Linked DNA regions of Schizosaccharomyces pombe. The protein of the gene in region 2 purifies or fractionates together with the protein of the main gene of each other region. This does not show direct contact. Each region holds a gene or a part of one and is shown on either strand. Other genes may lie near its edges.

Region 1 (4,097 bases), 1.6 Mb from region 2:
GACTTATAGAAAAACTTTTGGTAATGACTCAAAAAAGATAAAGAATAAAATCACAGCCGAAGGGATTACCGGCTCATCTACTTGTTTTAAAAAAGCGCCAAGATACTTTGGCGTATTGCTTGACAGGAAGACAGTGGAGTCTTCTCTCGTTCAAGTCTTAACGATAGCTAATTTGCAATGGCAGGAGGCTTTTTCCAGATACACCTTACAAGATTCCTTTCATATTACTATGATCCACGAGTCACAGAAGCCGGTAAATAGTCGGATTTGGGAACAATACTTACAGCATATGCACGATAAAAATACTACTAAAATGGGGAATATTTCGTTTAGGATAACTCATCTTGTATGGGATGATAGAGTTATTTGTTTTCGAGTCACTATGAATGAAAACAGCGTCTGGTATGGTAAAACTTGCAACCCTCAACTTCATATAACTTTGGGGACTTCTTCTTCTGACGTTAAAGCTTTTGAATCTAACTTTTTGCTTAAAAAATTGAGATGGCAAGGCGATGAAGTTGATTCGACTGATGGAAACGTAAGATATCTGACTGTTTTACCTAAAATAATAATAGAAGGAATGCTGGAACCCGTTTACTAGTACTTACAATACGGTTTTTTTCCTTATTTTTCTGAATTATATTCAGGATGTGTACACTAGACTTTATTTTTTGGAATATGTATGTAAATATAATTACTTGGGAATATAGAATAAGATAACATAAATTCATATTTTTTAAACTGGTCGTGTTTCCAAAACGTCTATATTTTTATTGGCAGAAAACACATTAGATGACAAAACAATTCAACTCAATCTCCATGTCCAACGAATTCGCTCAGTACGGGAATCATAGAAACTCAGCAAAGAACTATCACCAGAGTGTAATTGACTTGAGTTGTCAACGTCACGGAAAGAGTTGAAGCTTTCAACCCCTATAAAATTCCAAGAAATATTCCTTTACTGTTAGCATCTAAAAACGTATAAGTAGTTATTACCTTATTAACTCGTAAAGTTCTAAACAAGTAGAAGAAGAAAACAACCCTTTGATGGAAAGATAAAGAACGTCAGTAACAGCACAAGATGGTTTGTAACGTGAAATGTAAGGATCAGGAACAAATGAATTTTGCACACATTTTGCATTACAACGTAAAAAAGAAAGAATTTCCAAAACCTCTAATGGACCGTTTGATGGAAAGAGTTCATTTCTATTAAGAGTTGATACAAGTGGCGGTGGGATTTTTGCTTGGTCTAGTTTTCCTTTTTTTAGGTTGATTTCTCGCGAAATCATGGGAACAGGAAGCGAGTGAGACAAGTTGTTTTGGTAAGACTGATCAACCTTCTCAGTTGGAAAAGTAAGATAAAAACTCCACTTTCCAGGAAGACGACCCAAAGCAGCTTTTAATCTTTCAAAGCCTTTCCACTGAGGCCTTAAGAATGCAGACTTTAAGTCAATATTTGCTACCCATAGAGTGTCCTTAGGTTCAGAACTAGAAGGTTTTGCATCAATACCACTAACCAAATAGCTATCTTTGTCAAGAGTGACAGATAGAATACCTTATTAACTGTAAGCAATAAAAATTTCAAAATCTTAAAGATACCCGAAATTGTTTGGCTGGGTAATAATATCCTATAGAGATATGAAAAGCGAACAGTACCGTAAAATAACTCACCTTGACTTATACATATTTTATTATCATTATCGGATGAAGAAACAATGGTTGCAATTCCTATATTGAAAAAATTAGCTACAAAAAAGTGTTCCTAGAAAGTTTCTTACCAGTATGAATAAACGTTGAATATAAATCGGGATGTAACAGCAGAGCGGGTGAGCCAGAGAATTCATAAAAACTAAGATCTTGCACTATTTTCGTTATTGATCTAATTGCTTCTTCAGAGGCGTCTTCTACTGGCAACAAAATATCTAACTAAGTTTTATTATTAGGATTAAGATATAAGCGGATCTACATACCTTTCCATTATATGCATTCTGTAAAATTTCGTGCTCAGTATAATTTTTTTGATATATCTCGTCCTTTAATTCTTTAGTAAAAGCACAGTTCATTTTAATCGTATCTTTTTATTCATAAACTTTTCAGAAAGAAACGCAAAACTATTCTTTCCATATAAAAAAAGACACAGCGCTTCTGACAAGTGTTCATGAATTAGCAGGGAGACTTTGATGATACACCCATCAGCTCATTGTTACTTCATCTTAGCTGTATTAGAAAATATCAGATCAACAAGCACAATATCAAATTCAATATAGATCGTCAATTATATTTAGGCAATTTTCAATTTTTTCAAGTGTAAATAAATTTATTCGTATATAATTTATGACTCTTATAAGTATATTGAAGTAATGAACTGAAGAAAATAATTAAATGTTTTCATTCGTTCTTTGTATTTCACTCAGTATCATTGAAAAAGTTATGCAGACGGTAATTCATAAATTAGTTCAAATCGATGAAAATAATACCGACATCTTCAGATTGGCTTGTAGCGAGATTATTTAATAAAAAACATATTTTTTTACAAACCATTTTCCTTTTAAAAATGCTTATCTATCTATTCCTTTTTATTTATTTTTTTTATTTTAAAAATAATATTTCGAAAAAGAGAATGAAAACAATAAATATATCCATGTAAAAAAAATACCAGGTTAATTATTTAAGTAATAATTTTAATTATTGAGTATAAAACATCACTCAGACAACGAAGAGAACATAAGTTAACAATGGTTCTTTTGTTGTAATTTTCATTTCAATAATTGAAGCTACAAAACCACCTTTTCTATATTTTCGTCAAACGCCATGCATTTTTTTTAAGGTCATTAATACGAAATTAAGAGAATTGTATAATTTAAAGCAGTCGCTTATGAGTTTTAAAACCTCACCTTATTTGAACATTAATTTCTCGTAATATATGGAACTAAATTTCAAGGTTTTGCTCTTTGCAAGCTTCTAAAAATTCATTGCAAACAATACGATCAGGGCAAACCTCCAAAGCAGTATGGTTTTCAGAATCCTTACGTAAAGTATCAGCTCCAGCACGCACCAATTCGACACCAACATCTGGATGTCCTTCTGCTAATGCGAAATGCAATGGTGTGAAGCCATATGAATCCGAAGTATTCAAGGGTGCGCGTTGAGAAATTAAGTATTTGACTACTTGAATCTTTCCAACAGCTGCGGCTCTATGCAATGGTGTTTGGCCTTGAAGATCCTTTTTCCTAATAAGTTCTGGGGCCTTATCACATAATAATTGAACAATAGAAAGACGACCTTTTCCAGCGGCATAATGCAAACATGTTTGACCACCGCGAGTCGTTATGGTTGGATCAACGTCGGAACGGTTTATTAGTTCTTCTATTACATTATCAGGTACTGAGCGATTATTTATAGAGATCATTAAAGGCGTCCATCCTGCCTCATCTTTTTCGTCCGGCTTGATATTGGGTTGCTTTAACAAGAAATAAATGGTATTAACTTTACCAACAGAGCAGGCCCAATGGAGAGGTGTACGTTTGTCCTAACAATATTTGTGATTAGTAAAAACAACATGAGTCATTTAGTAGCTTAGTTACACTTGTTATTCTTGTCAATGCATATTCATTTTCTTTTTCGAATTCACAATAGAATAACAATATTAATTATTAGTTTCACATACATCATCTACCGCATTAAGAGAATTCGGATCATTTTGAATTGCCTGCTCCACATATTCTTCTGGACAGTTTTCTTCGATTGCTTTACCTAAACTTGCATAAACCATTTTATGTAACGACTAGATATGATTTTGTTGTAGTTTTATATGCTTGTTCTGTGTTACTTCAGTGGAAAGACTGTCGCCATTTAATGACACAGAGAATTACGAAATACTTCATTATATCCATTTTTAACATAGCATCCTTTGTCTGCAGATTGCCAACATCAATGTATCATTACAAAAACTAATTATTGTTACTGTACGGATTGTTTATATTTCAATTCCTTAATAATTGTTATTTTAATACATATTATCTTGCTATACTATTTATCTTGGTCCGCTTGATAGAATTTGTAAGTACTGTTGGTCTCTTGCTTGTATATGTGCTCAT
Region 2 (3,366 bases):
CAGATGTAATTCACCTCGGCAGCAAAACGATAAAACAAAAGAAGCGAAAAAACAAGAAAGGTGATATGGTGAGCAAAATTCACTTGTTCTAATAAGAAAACCGTTGAAAAATAAAATGAATATTTAATTTGTTCACGATGTGCGCATAAAAAACAAATAACCAGAATATATGCAGTGATAGTGTTGAAAAGTGTTTCAGTAGAACAGAAAACCCAATATTAATAAATTGAAGGTTTAATAGAATTAGAAGCTCAGAATAGGTTGAAAAGAATAAATACGTTATGGGGATGGCTTAGAATCGCTGCATATTCAAACTTGACAAGTAACGAAAAGAATAAATTAAAGCCCGCGAGCACTTCAAATGCACAGATAAATAAAAGATATGTACAAACAAAGAAAAAAAATATGTTTGATTCTATACAACAGGATGCCTTGATGCTGGATGAAATGCAGTAGAGACTCAAAGACCCAAATGGTGTTATGATGAATGACAGCGTTTTCGTATCATAGCGTAATGTTCTTAATAAAAATAGAGAGATTTTGCGAGACTGGTGTCAGAAATAGATGAAACAAAAAGCAAAAGTAAAGAAAAGAAAAAATCAATTGAAAATGGAAAGACTAATTGAGGTTTATTTATCCGAATATATCATCAATTTCGTCTCGTCCCTTTCTTGCACGTTTCTTTTTTTTCTTGACTGTGGAATTTGAGTTTTTGGATTTACGTTTGGTACCTTGAGAAACAGTTATAGGAGAAGAAGACAAGAAGAGAGATTCATCTTGATTCTTGAGAAAAGAATTAGGAGAGGATACAGTCAGTTTCTCATAACTAGTAGAAGCAGGATTTATAGACAATGAAATAGGTTCCGTAGCTAGCAATTCATCGCGAGCTACAACAGTCCCAGTGTCTATGTCATCTTGAGACTGTAATTCCAATTTTTTTTGCTCCTTTTGACTAAAGACTATTTCCGATTGTATTTTTGCTTCGTACTCTATTCCGCCCATAACAAACCAAACGCGAGCTAAGATACCCAGCAAAACTAACCCTAAGGCTGGATACTGACCATGGGCAATTAAGTTTGTAAAATAAAAGTACGATTTCGGCAATTGTTCTAAAATAGCAATTTTCGCTTTTTCATTTCCATCTAGCGACTGCTTTAGTCTTCGAAGCAGCATTCGTACGTGTCTCCACCAAACACTTAGTCGATGCTGATTTCTATTCCTATACACGATTTTTTGCAATAAAACTACATCGTATTGCAATTCCTGCATATCGTTGGACTAGACAAATAGGTCGTACAAACCACCCAACGAGTGAGCAATGTGAACACGAACACGAACGAAGAAAGTATGTATGTATGAACAGTATCCATTAAATACATTGATGGATGAAAAGAAATAAAGTGTTGCTCAAGTTCTCGTTAAATCAAAATTTGGACGTTAAAAATGAACTGTTCGTATTTGACTTTAACGATTTTTATCATTTTCAATTTCTCTCGATAAGTAATCTTAACGAAAATATATTAGCGAGTAAATCAAGATAATAAACGACACCTGGTTTACGGGAGTGGAAGAAGTAACAGTCGATCCGGGCATTCCGCGGAACGAAGTAGAAACATATGGAGAGCTCATAGACAAAAACAAAAACAAAAGGTACAAATCAATGAAAAGAAATACAAAGAGTTCTAATACTTAGCAATAAAATCCGCTACTGGTCGATGCATCCTTTAGAATCCTACATGATTTATTGTGTCCTTTTTTGTTTCCCATTTTTTAATATGCCTGTTTTAAGATTTTGTAGCATTTGGTACCTGCCATTCGATACCGCCATAATATACTCGTGTAGCAGATAATTTTCACTTTAAGAATCCTTCAAAAAGCACCACTACCGTCGGCTGTTTCTGGCTTCTTTTTCACGGCGTATCGATTCCGCAGTTCAAGACATAAACTGCGTTAATTTTCCTGTCAAATATCCTCCTTTTTGTCAATTAAGCCAGCAGTTTGCCATGAAAAGAAATTTGTAAAATTTGCTGATTGTCGGTACTAAATTTTCAATAGCGAAACTGATAAAAAGTCTAAACGCTATTTGTCCGCTTAGTGCGATTTAAAAATTAATTTTATCTTAATGATATATCATTGGCTCAGTTGAGAGCTTTTGATTTTTGATTGGTTCTCCCTTGTATTTAATCTATGTACGGTACCGATTATCTCTTGCATATCAAGTCGGTACTAGGGGGGACGATTGAGCTGATTAAAAACCTCGCACCGTTCCACGGCTTACCGTTTACCATTGTCTTGTACACACTATCAAACTTGACTTCTCTTCCCCTTATATAGTTAAAGACTTTGTTAATTGTAATTATTGGAAGCTTCATCCTAAGTATAACACAAAAAAGAAAAGATATTAGAAAGGCGAATATAGAGAATTTGAAATATTTTGCTTTTAAAAAATTAATAGTGAAGACAAGGTTAATTCTCAAATTATGAAGCGTTTTTTCTCCAAACTCTTCTCCAAATCCCCGACCTCTGGAAGAGTTCCTTCTCCCGACAGTGATTATTCTGAAGAGGAACAAAGATTACTAGCAGAAGAGAATGGGTACTTCCAGGATAGCAATGAGTATGTGGAGCCTAATATTCCAGCCGTCTACGGTTCTATGATTCCTGTAGCTCAGCAGTTACAGCAGCATCATGTTCATACACCTGGCGAGAGCTTCGCAGATAACGCATCGGGATACCCTGTTATAAAGCACGAGTTGTCAGAACTTTTGCGTCTTGGATCTCCCACCGTCATCGCTTATTTGTTACAATCCTCGGAACAATTTTCTACAGTCTTTACATTGGGACACTTGGGAAAGGAATACTTGGCAGCTTCGTCCCTTTCCACCATGACTGCTGCAATCAGTGCTTTCTCCATTTTCCAAGGTGTTATCTCCTCCTTAGATACCTTAGCCACTCAAGCCTTTGGCGCTAATAAACCCTACAATGTAGCCATCTACCTACAAAGATGTCTGCTTATTTTGGCTGTTTTACACATACCTGTAGCTTTGATTTGGCTTAATCTTGAACATATTCTAATCTTTCTTCACCAAGATCCTATGGTTGCTCATTTGTGTGGTCGTTATATGAGAGTGTTTATCTTGGCTGCGTAAGTACTTTATTAAAATTTGTCCGTTCTCTCTCCTCCTTTCACTAACTGTATTCTTTTAGACCTGGATATGCCGTTTTTGAGGCATTGAAGCGTTACTTGCAAGCTCAAGGCATATTTACCCCTATCACTTATGTATTATGCTTTGCTGCTCCTCTCAATATTCTTTTAAATTACCTTCTTGTATGGCATCCCACAATTGGATTTGGCTTTCTCGGTGCTCC
Region 3 (2,766 bases), on a different chromosome or scaffold from region 2:
AAATCACACCCATTACTTCCCTTTCCCTTCAAAGCCGATATTTCCGTTATAGTCCCGAAGACTTTAACTTGAGAAACGAGTCTAAGAACGTAGGTAGTTTGTTCATTGGTACGTATGAGATGCATATTTGTCTCCATGAACGCCTGACTTTCATCGATTATGCTGGTGGAGAATTCATTCTGCAAGGAATCATCTAATGGGAAACTGGATTCATCTTTTTGAATCTTTTCAATCTCAAAAAGGTGTAAAGAATTCACTTTACTTACCACTAGGTTATTAGATACAAGAGAAGTAAATTGGCCTTGGACAGCATTTTTTATAACTGTAGAGTCCACTAGGTCTTGAAATATGGTTGACATAAAGCAAATACCACATTAAATGTGCCTTTCAACTGGGACGTTGAGCTTCTGGAAAGGATGAGGTAGAGTAAGGAGTTGGACGCGTCCAAATACAGTGTACAAAATCTACAAGTAGGTTTTAAAAGCAATTCATTTTAAATAACTAGTAATTTACATAATAATAATACAATCCTTTTTACTTATGAAAAAGGAACCGCTTGACAAGGAAAGTCTGAAGCGTGTAATACCATAAGTCTTATTTGTTCAGGTTCGCGAACATAGGATCCGAGTGCCACAAGGACTTTCTTTTTATCCCTATTATTATTGTTCAGTAAGTAAAATAGCACATTACAATTACAGTAGTTGACATACTCTTTATGGCACCTTAGATACAAAAATTTTGATTGTCGATGCAAAAAATCAATAGGAATTGCAGACCCAAATATTCCAAATGACTGATTTAGAGCTAATGTGATGAGATGTCGTAAAGAAATATCGTCTATTTCATCTATAGGGGTAGTACCTCCAACCCTAAGTATGTCAGTGAAACAAATTATCCCAGACTTCCTTACACTTCAAGTATTATATATGACCATTCGCTTTTTAAACGTTGATGAAGTACCATGGCCTCTTTTTAACTCAAAAGGAAGGCAGATCGTGTCTGGTGAAAGTTGTATAGAGAAGTAAACTTCTGAGTAAGTACGATACCAACACGTTTAAGGATGCATTTGCTGCAGTTCCTGTGGAATCTACAAGCTCGTAATTATCATACTAAAATTATCGTACCATCACATAAACTGTTATGTGAAGGCTAATCTTCGAATAATTGAGGTACTGTTTAATTATGTTTCCTGTTTTCATGCCTGTAGAAAGCAAACAGCTGAACAAAATGAGGAAGCCTTCAATTCGAAGTGTAATATTAGAAAAATTTAATAACTTGAATTATTGCTATTTTTCATAATTTAATTTTGCTGGTTGATAAAATATATCCAGATACACAATTTACGAAATGCGGTCTTATAGCTAGCATGAGACAAAGACGGCAACTCGCGGAATTCTTCATATAAACTTTTCCGAGTCCGAGGTTCTAATAAATTCGTATGTTTGTATTAACTAAATTGAGACATAAACTATATTCCAGACTTGGTTAAAATCCCCTTATCTATTCATTTTGTCAAGATATCTATACCGATTGTAGCAAAATTTGATAAAAGCAATTTTCAAAATGTTTTACTGAGAATGCAATGAATCAGGGATTGTTCTTTCATAACTCCCCTCGTCTCGTGCACTTTAAAATTAACTGGTACTCCAGATTTTTATCAAGGCCTCCGCGCAAGAGAATATGTAAATGTTTCCCTTTACGAAACCAGCTTCTTTTTCCATTCCTGGTAAAGTTTTGTCATATATTCTAAAGCTTTCTCTTGCTCTGAAGGCAAAATTAATTCCACAGGAGTAGAGAGGACTCTTTCATGACCAAAACGAGTCACGGCTGCTCCCCACTTGATAGATTGATCTTCTTTGGTAGCATGTAAAGCAGTCCAAAGAAAAGCAAAAGCAGCAACGTATGGAGAAATTGTATGCCAAGGACTTCCAAGTAAGCGACAAATATAGAAACCGAGCTTTGCACACATAACCAATATAGGACCGAGGAAAGTTTCATACATGTTAGTAGTACATAGTCCGGGATGGACAAGGTATTGTTCAAAAGGGAGTCCCTTTTCAAGTTCTGCATAGTGTAACACATCTAACAAACGCTTTGAAGATTGATAGGGTTGCTCGCCGTGAAAACATTGTAGGTCTTCAAAATCAAGGGATTTTTTTTCTGCTACTAAACTGCTTGTAAGGACTACCTTTGTTGACGAACGGAGCACTTTTAGTTCGGCCAGGCGATTTTTCTTATGTAAATTAGTACTAACATACGGAATTAAGGTGAAAAAACTTACCAAATAAAAATGACCAAAAACATTACTTTCAAATATGTAACCGAGGGAGTCATTGCTCACACGTCCAGCAGTCTCTTTGTAAAAGGTTGGATGCGTCAGTGCCTGGATAGGGTTGATCAAAGTAGAAAAGATAGCCTTTAGCCATTGAATACCTTCCAGGTCCCAAGCACCAGCATTTAGGTAAACAAAATCTAATTTAGGGAATCTAGTAGCGATATCTTGCACCGCAGCTTCCACTGATGCCATATTCGACAAGTCTAACAAAACGTATTCCAACCGTATTTTCCTATCGGGAAAGAATTCTTTCAATCTTCTACAGGCATCTTCTGCCTTTTCACGACTCCTGCATGTAAGAATTACCGTGAATACTTCGGGTTCATCTTGCAAACGCGGTTGGTAGAACTGCAAAAGACGCGTAGCTATTCCAAAACCAAGACCACTGTAATCATTAACTGTGTTGCTCTAGATATCTTAATAATATTTTA

The links.
Region 1: the proteins of rmp1 (region 2) and rpp40 purify together in Schizosaccharomyces pombe (affinity purification with mass spectrometry, with the first as the bait; one study listed by BioGRID). This does not show direct contact.
Region 3: the proteins of rmp1 (region 2) and pop8 purify together in Schizosaccharomyces pombe (affinity purification with mass spectrometry, with the first as the bait; one study listed by BioGRID). This does not show direct contact.

What each region holds. Positions count from the first base shown.
Region 1 is NC_003424.3:2,337,850-2,341,946, reverse strand, and holds rpp40 (Rnase P subunit), read right to left. Parts: upstream 2,151-4,097; 5' UTR 2,064-2,150; coding exon 1,971-2,063; intron 1,967-1,970; exon of another isoform or gene 1,927-1,966; coding exon 1,779-1,926; exon of another isoform or gene 1,729-1,778; coding exon 1,672-1,728; exon of another isoform or gene 1,620-1,671; intron 1,609-1,619; exon of another isoform or gene 1,556-1,608; coding exon 997-1,555; intron 957-996; coding exon 806-956; 3' UTR 643-805; downstream 1-642. Other genes in the region: nas6 (gankyrin), read right to left, coding at 2,930-3,529, 3,668-3,772.
Region 2 is NC_003424.3:3,918,979-3,922,344, reverse strand, and holds rmp1 (ribonuclease MRP complex subunit), read right to left. Parts: upstream 1,339-3,366; 5' UTR 1,270-1,338; coding exon 634-1,269; downstream 1-633. Other genes in the region: SPOM_SPAC323.07C (MatE family transporter), read left to right, coding at 2,481-3,142, 3,205-3,366.
Region 3 is NC_003423.3:1,110,932-1,113,697, reverse strand, and holds pop8 (RNase P and RNase MRP subunit Pop8), read right to left. Parts: upstream 1,002-2,766; 5' UTR 964-1,001; coding exon 911-963; intron 870-910; coding exon 711-869; intron 654-710; coding exon 539-653; downstream 1-538. Other genes in the region: mRNA processing protein Cft1, read right to left, coding at 1-359; erg27 (3-keto sterol reductase), read right to left, coding at 1,697-2,233, 2,282-2,720.